Neurospora crassa OR74A: one gene and its partners. Each later gene encodes a partner of the first gene's protein in a complex. Links are inferred from orthologs where the notes say so. Each region holds a gene or a part of one and is shown in the gene's direction. Other genes may lie near its edges.

Region 1 (3,983 bases):
GAGAAGGCGTTCAAGGCCCAACAAATCTCTGTGCCAGAAACCAAACCAGTTGCCCAAGTATCCGTCCAAGCTGAACCGGTTGAAGAGGATGACGACGATGATTACTGGGGCCGATACGATGCCACGCCTTCCCAAACTCCCGGTCAAGGCCGCTCTCCTGCGCCGCCGTCCTTGGGCGCCGGCCTCAACACTCAAAAACCCCATCCCTTTGAGCGTAGTCCGTCCGCCGAAGATGCGTACTTCGCCCAATACGAATCCGTACAGCCAGCCATGGACCCCCATGATCCAGACGAGGAGGCCTTCCAGGGCGGAGCTGTGGGGGGTGGTGCACCGCTTAATGGTCTCCCCCTTCGCAGGTCTCCGTCGCCAAGACAACAGGCATATGAGCCGCCTGTCATCAAGTCCGCACCAGCGCCGCCGCCATTGGGCCTAAACGGAGACGGCAACGGCGGTTACGTTCCATCCCGATCACCCTCTGATAAGTCCGGTTCTGACTCAAGTGGCCGGCGCATGTCCCAGGCGGACGAGGAGAGGATGGAAAGCCTTGCTCATCCGCGCCCAGCCAGTAGCGCCAGCTCAAACGGATCCCGCATGGTGGCCAAGCTCGAAGAAACGGCGGAAGCGCAAGATCGAGTCGAGTTTGGAGTTAAGCAGCACGTCTCAAGGACGATTCGAAGTCTATTCCAGCTGTCACGCGGCGCTGGCATCAGTCGTGAAGAGTTCGAGCGGATGGTCAGGAACGAGCTTGATGTTCTTGCGATGGTGGAGGACGACGTTTGAATGACCAGGGAAGGAAGGGAAATTGATTCAAAGGGGGTGTCGGTGTTCACTGTTTATATTCCTCATTCTGTTCGGGATACTGCATCATCGGGTCGTTTTTGGCGTCAAGTAGTACTGGTGGGGGAAGTCCGGTGAGGGCGTCCAGTTCGCCTCGTGATTATTGTTAGTTGTTCGGACTTCGAGCAACGGCGTCCACGGAATTATTTTACAATAGCGTTACAGAATATCGGTCAAAGTACGATAATGAACATAGCACATACACGAGCAAAGTAGAGAAAGATGCCCAGTATCTGTGCACCAGTACATCATCGAAACGGTTGAAGACGCAAGTCAATGTGAACGCCAAGTACGGAACTCCGGAATTGGCAAACAGCTACCCCACCAAGGACGGTAGGTACCTCTCAATAACATCCAGGGTTAGGGTCAAACCTGGCTCTTTGCGAGGACGGTGAGGCTGCCGGCCGCCAGTTCGTCCCAACGATTGGTCCCTGCTCCAATGGCCGGGTCCTTCCGCAGCGGAGCAAAAAAAGTCTCGAAAGTCGCGTCCCACTTCGACCGTCTTCCGGGGTTGAGTGCCCGTGTGTTCTGAAGTGCGTCCGCTCTGCGCCGGCAGCCCGTCCAGTCTTGAAGTTGTCTCCGTCCGTCCTCAAGGTCCGCCCCCCACACACACTGTCCACCGTCCATCTCCCCCGACCGAACGACCGGCCGACCTTCCCTTCCACCGAACCTTTCCTCCGACCCCCGGGCCGTTTTCTTGCGGAGAAAGAGACCAAAAAAAACCCCAACAGACAAAATGATCGGCTCCATGGGTCTAAGGATACCCCGTGCGACAAGCTCGCTCCTCGGCCGTGCCGTCAACGCTGTCGCCACCAACCAGTCCGCCGTCGCCGGCGCCAGCATCGCCGCTCAAAGGAGATGGCAGCACTACCTCATGCCGCTTCGCGACAACTTCGAGCAAGAGGGCATCCGCAACTTCCTCAGCCCCGGCTCCGTCAACATGGCCTATACCGAGTACCAGACCTTCATTTTGGAGAAGCTTAACGCGCTTGTAGTAGGTACGTACGGATGACACAGCAACACAGAACATACTCGTCTGGGGAATTTGGTGTCGCTGCGTTATCATGTGGCACGGCATAGCACGGCATGGCATGGATGAAGGTTACGTGCGAGGATTACTGGCTGCGAGGAATTGGTATCCTTTGGTCGAAAACGCCAAGCTGGGATGCTGTTAAGCCTGAGAGGAAGAGGAGGCATTAGCGCAGTGGTTAGGCCACAAAGGAATTGGTGGAGGAAATAGAAGGAAGGGGACTCGGATTGAAGCTCAAGCCAGAGCATGCCCTGCCTATCCGGGGGGGAAGACATGATGTCACCTATTTTGCTGCATGGGAGATATCTAACCGACAAACCACTTTGCTTACTTCTCTTTCGTCAAACAGGCACCGACTTTGAGCAAAAAGACACCAAGTCCATCGTCCTCGCCACCGCACGCGACCCCGAGCTCGCCCATGTGTTCAACCACGCCTCCATGGCGCACAACAACCACTTCTTCTTCGACCACCTGTCCCCGGTCCCCGTCAAGATGGGCGACAAGCTATTTTACCACATCAACGAGAACTTCGGCTCCGTCGACACGCTCCGCGACGAGATGATCGGCACCGCCGTCTCCATGTTCGGTCCCGGTTTCGTCTGGCTCGTCCGCACCCAGCTTCCCGGTCAGCCCGTCGCCCTCCGCGTCATGGCCACCTACTTGGCTGGTTCTCCTTACCCGGGCGCCCACTGGCGCCGCCAGGAGATGGACGCCCAGACTTCCATCGGGAGCTCCCCCCAGGGCTTGAGCAACGGCCAGCGCTTCTTCGAGCGCAGCGCAGCTGGGTTCAAGGGCAACAAGCTTGAACCTACGGCTCCCGGCGGCACTGATTTGATTCCGATCTTGTGCCTCAACACGTGGGAGTACGCGTGGCTTCGCGAATACGGAACTGGTGTGGGTGGTATGGGTGGTAAGCTGGCGTATGCGCAGAGCTGGTGGAACATGATTGATTGGGCCAAGGTCGAGGAGGAGGCCAGGCTGGAGACTAGGATCTTGACGGGCGGTGATAGCTCTGTTTAGCCTCTTGCTTCCATTCTGCGGGGGAAGAGGAGGGAGGAGTGAGGAGGAATTGAAGTAGGAAGTGAAGCGGGAGCGTGAAAGCTTAAGCCTCGACTTTTTGGTTCTGAATTACTCGCGACTACTGGTCCATCAGTCCATGCCTGCCGCCGCCATCGACAGTCCGACGGCTGTCACCTTGTCCGAGGGGTAGAAAGAGCGAGTGGAACGGGATGGAGATGGATTATTGTACGGTTGCTGCCCAAGTTACTTCTGTGACTTTGTCTGTCTATATGGAACCCGGATATATAGGGAAAAGTTGTTCTGTACGATAGGATAGCATGACGGTGAGACCGGCCGGAAAAAGAGAAAGGAAAGTAAAAACCAAGCCAGCCCCGGCAGCTGCCATCTATACTTTTACATGTGTATATTACCAATGAACCAAATGTGTGTGTGTGTGTGAAAGAGGAAAGCAGGATAACGGCAACGAAGCAACAAACGGATAGGTCAAATGCAAATTGTAAATATAGCACTTTGAAAGATGGACGCACATTGTGACATCGACATCCAACCTTCTCTGCTTACTTGACCAAACTTTTTAGTACATCTCCTAAGGACCTCATACGGACCTACATGTCCGACTACTCCTTACTCCGCATGATGTCTGCTTCCTTCACGATATCAGCTCACTAGGTAACTACCACGACACATCAGCTGTTGAAAACATACCTGACCGCTGCCAGTTGTAGCCCTTCTACCTTTGTAGTTTCAGCCTCTGATTTCTCCTCCTTCGCAAGGCCTCAGGCTCCATGCCGAGTGATCGGTGACAAACTGAATCTTGACTATTGACTGTTAGGTTATCAGATTTGCCTGGCCGAGACCTCACTGGTTCGTTTCAGCGCGGTAGCTACTAAAAGTAGGTACGTAAACCGAGCACCGGTGAAGGACGGCAGAGTGAGTGTATCGGTGTCTCGATTGCCATGCCATGCCATGCCATGTCATGTCTCGCATTGGGACTCCGTACGTTGGATCCGGTCAAAGATTTGGTTCGAACTGGCTTTACTCACTCACGGTCACTCAATCGATGTGTAATGTCCCGGTTTTGAAACCACCCAAGTTG
Region 2 (3,201 bases), on another chromosome or scaffold:
TGGCGGGTGAAGAAGGCATCGCTCTCCTTGTCGGTCCAGTTCCCGGGTGCTTGGCACGCCATCATACGCGCTGTAATGTTGAGTCGGATGCCTTGGTCATTGTAGGTGGAGAGTTTCTCACTCATGGGGAAACCCTGGGGATCTCGTCTCTCGGACTCCCTAACAACACGAGCATTCAATGGCTGAAGGGTTGGCCGACTGAAGCAAGGCTTGAAAGTCGGAGGACCCAGTTTTTCGGTGAGAAGGTTGTAGCAGCAACCCACGATTGCAACGGCGTGGATAGACGAGTTGAGGACCATGGACCGGATGCCGTAGTGAGAGAGGTTGCCACATGAGTGGATGGACACAGCCATCATGCTGAGATCATCCTCGCTGTGAGTTTCCGTGTACTCCAGCTGGGAGATCACAGGGGCCAAGTCGGCATCTCCCAACTTGGCAACGACGTACTCAATGCTGCCCTTTCCTTCCTCCCGCGCATAAGTGGCCTGAAGCTCCTTTCTCGATCGGAGATCAATGGTAGCAATATCTTCGTCTGTCACACCCAGTGCCTTTGCGGCGCGCTTCAGTGCCTCTTCATCGTTGGCTTCTGACGGATCTACACTTTCCATAATGCGGTGGTAGAGCTTCTTGTTGCGGATTCTCTTCTCCCGCTCAGCTAGACCGGACAAGATATCGAGATCCTTAGCGCCTGCTGTGTTGGCCTCCTTGCTCTCCACGGCAACAATATGCTTGTTGTACGGAGGACTCGCCAGAGCGCGGCCTAGATAATTCTGGCCACTGCCAAAGTCTACCAAGTGCGTCAGTTCCTGTCCCCTCACCCGAGCGACGTCCTCCGAGAGCCTGTCGATGTATCCGGAAAAGTGAGTGACTTCGTGAACTTTCTTGGTGTTCATTCCCAAAGCTACCTGCCGAGGAAGCACCGGTAGTTTTGGCTTGCTGGGCTGGAAGGAGCGTCGTAAAGAAAGTTTCCTGATATCCTTGACATATTGAACCAGCGTCTCGGGAGGCTGTCCCGGGCCAGTTTGCGCGGCAAGTGTGTCAAGATCATCTCTCATCAAGAAATCCAAAAGGACCATGGGCTCGGTCTGCACCAGGTACTCCTGCCATTCCTTGGGAACGGCAGAGACAAATAGGCCGGGCTCGCTGGTGAAGAAGTCAAGAATGTGGACACCACCACAGAGAAACTGGAAAAGGTGGGAATTGGTCGCAAAGTCCAGCAGACTGTCGACATATTGGTCTGCAGATGAAAAATCATCCGAGTATGGAAGAGGCTTTTCTGGCCTCGCAGTAAAGTCGATCGTCATGATGTGTATGGTGAGTGGTTGTTCATCTGCATTTTTGGCACATCGCCATGAAATTTTGGCTTTCTTTTCGCAAGACTCATACGGTAAAGTGTATGCATGAGGTACAATCGCATGTGTATAACCTTTATGGCGACAGCTGGCGGAGCATGGGATGCCAGCTGTCCCGCACCCCAAATGCTCCGCTGCGGATTTGCACCGGCCAATGCGGGCTCCCCCACGATCCGCCGCCTGCCCGGCAAGTCTGCACGCCCGGTTCCAAATCGCGGGTTGCGGGTTGCTGAGAGCTGAGAGTCGAGACTCCTCCGCGATTCCTGAACCGAGTTATGCCCATTGCGACAAGGTGACTTATCGTCGGCTAACAAGATGGTACCTACAACGGCCTCTGCGATTTCCGGGAATATTTGTCCAAAAGTTCTAACATTTTATTGCTAGGTGTTCATCCTGGGAGTCAACTTCAATGAGCACAAGCTCGTCCAGGTGCGCTCTCCTCCTCGTCCTCGTCCTCGTCCTCCTCTGCGCTCCAAGAATCACCCTGGTTAACCTTCCACTTGCGAACCACAGAAAGCTCTCGAGAGCTTCTACGGCCTAGGCCAGCAGGCCTCTGCCCGCATTCTCGCAAAGTATTCGATCCACCCGCGCGCGAAGATGGGCACCCTCCCGCCCAAGATCGTCACTGCCCTGACGGCCGAACTGTCGACCATGACAATCGAGAACGACGCCAGGAGGCTGGTGCTGGACAACATCAAGCGCCTCCGTGATATGGGTACCTACCGCGGTCGTCGCCATGCCATGGGTCTGCCCGTGCGCGGTCAGCAGACGAGGAACCAGATCGCCAACGCCAGGAAGCTCAACAAGATCGAGCGCCACGGTTGAGCGAGTCGATGACGGTAATGGTGACGGGAACCTTGGAGAATACCATGACGTCTGGATATTTCTGGAGCAATTCTGCTACGCGACATTTGCTTCGATAGCTGTCGGACCATGGGATCGAACGCATGGACAGAGAAGAAAGAGATGTGCCTGACGTGGCTCGGCTGGGTGTTGTCGAGCTTTTAGAGCAGGCAGGCAGGCAAAATCAGTGTACGATACGTCAAGCCAGAACGAAGACACGCTGGGACGCAAAAGGAATCAGGCGCGGCGTTGTAGAGCAATTCATCGGATCAAGTCAAAACACGGGCAACTTTTTGCTTATTGACTCGAATCACGACAGACATTTATGATACCCAATTCCCGAGTCTATATGCTAGCCAGATCTTGTGTCTTTATATAAGCAGCTTGCCATCTGCAGGCTCATCTTGGAGCTATCTACGCTGCCACAAAACTTTGCGGAAACACGGTAATTTTCTCTACGTGCCGCCCATTCAGATGTCTACTCCTCGGGCATCAAGTTAGGCAGATCATCCTCCAGAGCCGACTCACCAGCAGCTTGCATCGTAGCCGCCACGAGCTCAACATCCCTCCACACGCGGAGTATGTTACCGCCCACGACCTTGCTCACATCCTCATCACTAACACCCCGTCGAAGCAGCTCGGCCACCAAGTCCGGGTAGCGCGAGACATCTTCCAGTCCCTTCGGGACGACTGGAATCCCATCAAAGTCACTACCCAGACCGACATGATCATATCCAATCAGCTCGCCAATATGAATGATATGGTCAGCCACATGCTCCAGAGTCGCATTGGCCGGGTAAAAATCCGGCAGCCCATCGTCCCTGTCCGGCGCCGCCACGCACGAGATAAAGTCGGGTGAGAAGTTGACCATAACCAGCGAGTTGCGCTCCTTGACCAGACGAAGGACGTCATCCGGCACGTTGCGCGGGTGGGGGCACAGCGCGTAGGCGCTCGAGTGGCTGAAGATGACAGGGGCCCTGCTGCCATTCCAGTCCTTGCCCGAGCC
Region 3 (3,435 bases), on another chromosome or scaffold:
CAACCTTGTGTGGAGTGCGCAGCCGCACGAGTACAGCAAACCTGAGATCGCTCAGTGTGTGTTGGCCAAATTCGTCCAGTCCAACCACTTCGTCCGGGCCTGGATACTCGTAGTCATCTTCATTTTGTACAAAGGTGAACCGGGGCCTATCAGCGGGCGCATAATTATGCATGTAAGGATCGCGAATGAACTTGAGGTAGTCTTCGACCGTTCCATCTAGATCATGATAGGGATCTACCAGTTCAAGCAGCTCTTCTTTGGTGAGATGACCGAGCTTCGCACTGTGGGATTCGGGCAGCTCTTGTGATTGTGGGTTTGCGCCCGAGTGGGACTCGGTCGATAGATCGTCATGTAGCGCGGATGGGGCCGAGAAGACAGAGTCGGCGGGCTTCTGATCGGCACTGGGTTCGGGGGCAGCTGCGGCAACGGGGTCAGGGACCGGGGCTGCCGCCGCCGCCGCCGCCGCCGTGTGGCTCCGCTTTTGGGGAGCAGAGACCGAATAGCGGAAGAAGTTGGAGTCGAGTGCTCGTCTGCTGTTCGTGCCGGACAGACTGGTGGGAGTTACCCGCAGGGATGGGGTGGTCAGTAGCGGGCAACCGGTGGAGCCGCCTATGGGTCTCCTCGCGACCCCATCGACAAGGCCACCACTTTGTGAGCTCCAGCTGCCGTGGAAGCACCGTCGTTGTTGTACTGGGCCGAGGCCTGCTGTCGCAACCTGTCTTCTTCGTCCGCTGCCTTGGTCACCGAGCTGGATGGATGCTGTGGTTTGCGACACGGAACTGGTGGCAGCAATTGCGGTTGCGGAGGCGGCAATGGCAGACCAATTCCACGACGGACGATGCAAGAAGATGGTGCCGCATATCGACCCTTCAAATCGGCTGGAGACTTTCATGAGCTGCCGCCGTCCAACATGATGGCCTGCCCATTCAGCCAACCTTTTCTTGCCTGTTCCCCGCGAGTGTCGGCCGCAATTCGATGAAGAAGAGCTCAGAGAAGACGCAATCACAAGCTGCTGGCTGCTGCGCACTCGATTGGCACTCGATGCAATCGCGGTTACTGGCGAATTGGATCGTACTCAGGTCGATGTGGTCAGGGCGTCAGATTCGTGGAGGGCGGGGAAGTATGGGGAGAATGGGGAGAACTCGAGTCATGAAGTGAGGAGGGATGTGGCAGGAAACTGGGGTCGGGTGAGCGACGCGATGATTGAGAAAAAGTTGGGGTAGTGTAGTGGTGTACACTACAATACATGGACGAGGCACAGCTCCAGGTACCTTGCCGTGAGCACACCCCACCCCTGCCTCTACGAAAGAGGGGAAGCTGGAATAGGGTCCAGTCTCGGCCGGGCTCAAGACCCCCACTTCTGTTATCGATAAGCACCTAGCTAGGTACTTCCCTTCCCTTTGGTCGCTTAATGGCGGGGCGGGGAACTATTTTTTTTTTGCCGGCACGTCCTTCCAATTGCTCGCCCGCTCGCGGCAGGCAGGACAGCAGGTCGCGCGGGTTACCGGCAACAACTGAAGGTCGTGTCGGATCGTGCCTGTCTCCAAAAGGCACAGCTCCACTTTGGACAAAGCTAAGCAAATAGCGATAACGATAGGTTTGGCGGGTGAGGGAATCCATTGTGCCTACGCAGCGCAGCGCAGTGTATTATTATTACCTTACACAGGTATACACACCCCGTAACCTCGTAGCCTTGCCTTTGCCTTGGGAGGGTACCTGAGGAACGAAAGGACCGCCGAATCCGCCAATGGTCCTCTGATCTCAGCCAACACCACCGCTGCCGTCGATTATCACCAGTAATTCCCTCCACAACACCCAAACGCCGCCAGCGACGACCGGACAAGATGGGCAAGGGGCGCATCTTCCAGGCCGCAAAGGTCTACCAGAGGGCCAGCGAGGCTGCTGCCACCAACATCGTCTCTGGCCTGCCACCACGGAACCCACCACTGTGGCTCAAGGCCATCGAGTCCATCCCTCCCGCTGAGATCAACACCAGACCGTATCCGATCCAGCACTCTCCGCCGAACCCGCGAGCGCGCAAGCCACGCAACCTCTTTAGGCCCACCAAGATCGTCTATCCCGAAGATGAGTTGCGCCGCGACTTCTACCGCGACCACCCTTGGGAGTTGGCCAGGCCTAGGATGATTATCGAGTTGGATGGCAAGGACGCCCGTTTCCTTGACTGGTCCAAGGGCCTCAGGCAACGCGGCATCCCCTTGTCCGGCGAGAGGTACGTTGTTGGATGAGCGCATTGCACATGGCGCAAAAGCCCGGCGGACAGGCATGGAAATTGGATGCTAACCCGAATCGCAAACGATAGTGTCGTTCAACGTCAGCTCTGGCTTATGGAGAATCAAGGCATGACCAAGCAGGAAGCCTACGACAAGGCGCGCCACGAGTTCTACAAGTTGAGGCAGTTGGAGCAGATGGAGCGCAGGATAGCCGTCGAGGAGGCCCGCATGGTTGGTGGCTACTTTGGCAAGGACCTTCTGACGGTCGGCATGGAGCTCGAGAACAAGACGTATGAGAGTTGGAAGAAGTGGGCTACGACCGAGATCGCCCGCCAGGAATCTGCCAGGGCTTCCATGTACACCAATGTCGTCGACAACTCTGCGCTCGAGGAATCTGAGGAGGACGAGCTGCTCGCGCAGAATTAAGGCAACGAATTGGAGTAAAAGGGGAGGGACAGAGTGGTATAGCGTGGCTGATACCCATCCGTGTCGGGGAAAGACGATGCCGGCCCACTCGTGCACAAGTGTAAGAATATCACGTCTCTTTGTACATATAGAGAGGGCAAGAGACTTTGTAGAAGTACATGTGATTCAGGAGCCTGGTCGCCTATCTTCGAAGAAACCCGGCAGACACCGGCCCGATATACTGACTGCCCTTGAATATTTTCGCCAGACTCTCGTGCTGCACACCGACAACATCGGCAATGCCCGTTTTTAGAAACAACTTCCCCGTCAGACTCATCGTCTTGGACCTGGCCCAGGTCTCGATGTACACCACCTTGGCCCTGTTTTCGGGTACGAGGTAGAATATCTTGAGCAAGTGGGCCACCAAACACACAATAAAGCCGTTGGCAGGCCCATTTGTAACAATCACATGCGGGTATCTGAATCCCTTTCCATGATCCTTTGTTGACCGTGGGTTGGGCATCCGTGTGAGGGCATTGGCGGCATGAAAGGCGGATATGAGGCAGGTAAAGGGTGCCGTATAGAGCGGTTGATGGACCTTGCGCGCACGGCGGATTAAGAAGATATCAGAGGTGCCTGCTCGATCATCTTCTCCGGGATAGGCGTCCTTGATAGTCGCTTCCAGAAGGCGGGCCTTGCCGAGAGAGGAAGTGTCTCCGATGGAGATGATGTACCGCCGGTGGATGTTTGCCTGGCCGCGAAATGACTGCTTGATGGTCTCAATCATCTCAGCAGTGTG

Evidence for each region.
Region 2: NCU07386 (region 1) and NCU09539 share a complex: the UniProt entries of both Schizosaccharomyces pombe proteins name them as parts of the mitochondrial small ribosomal subunit. The link is inferred for Neurospora crassa OR74A from reciprocal best matches to the Schizosaccharomyces pombe genes SPOM_SPBC16A3.14 and sws2.
Region 3: NCU07386 (region 1) and NCU03343 share a complex: the UniProt entries of both Schizosaccharomyces pombe proteins name them as parts of the mitochondrial small ribosomal subunit. The link is inferred for Neurospora crassa OR74A from reciprocal best matches to the Schizosaccharomyces pombe genes SPOM_SPBC16A3.14 and rsm25.

What each region holds. Positions count from the first base shown.
Region 1 is NC_026501.1:6,129,393-6,133,375, reverse strand, and holds NCU07386 (Fe superoxide dismutase), read left to right. Parts: upstream 1-1,303; 5' UTR 1,304-1,573; coding exon 1,574-1,835; intron 1,836-2,216; coding exon 2,217-2,887; 3' UTR 2,888-3,348; downstream 3,349-3,983. Other genes in the region: NCU07385 (hypothetical protein), read left to right, coding at 1-780. UniProt on the Schizosaccharomyces pombe protein: Component of the mitochondrial ribosome (mitoribosome), a dedicated translation machinery responsible for the synthesis of mitochondrial genome-encoded proteins, including at least some of the essential transmembrane subunits of the mitochondrial respiratory chain.
Region 2 is NC_026505.1:4,526,054-4,529,254, reverse strand, and holds NCU09539 (putative mitochondrial 37S ribosomal protein SWS2), read left to right. Parts: upstream 1-1,508; 5' UTR 1,509-1,667; coding exon 1,668-1,670; intron 1,671-1,736; coding exon 1,737-1,781; intron 1,782-1,865; coding exon 1,866-2,177; 3' UTR 2,178-2,641; downstream 2,642-3,201. Other genes in the region: NCU09540 (hypothetical protein), read right to left, coding at 1-1,304; NCU09538 (microsomal dipeptidase), read right to left, coding at 2,674-3,201. UniProt on the Schizosaccharomyces pombe protein: Component of the mitochondrial ribosome (mitoribosome), a dedicated translation machinery responsible for the synthesis of mitochondrial genome-encoded proteins, including at least some of the essential transmembrane subunits of the mitochondrial respiratory chain.
Region 3 is NC_026502.1:1,034,486-1,037,920, reverse strand, and holds NCU03343 (mitochondrial 37S ribosomal protein RSM25), read left to right. Parts: upstream 1-1,504; 5' UTR 1,505-1,844; coding exon 1,845-2,230; intron 2,231-2,320; coding exon 2,321-2,657; 3' UTR 2,658-2,838; downstream 2,839-3,435. Other genes in the region: NCU03342 (hypothetical protein), read right to left, coding at 1-892; NCU03344 (hypothetical protein), read right to left, coding at 2,839-3,435. UniProt on the Schizosaccharomyces pombe protein: Component of the mitochondrial ribosome (mitoribosome), a dedicated translation machinery responsible for the synthesis of mitochondrial genome-encoded proteins, including at least some of the essential transmembrane subunits of the mitochondrial respiratory chain.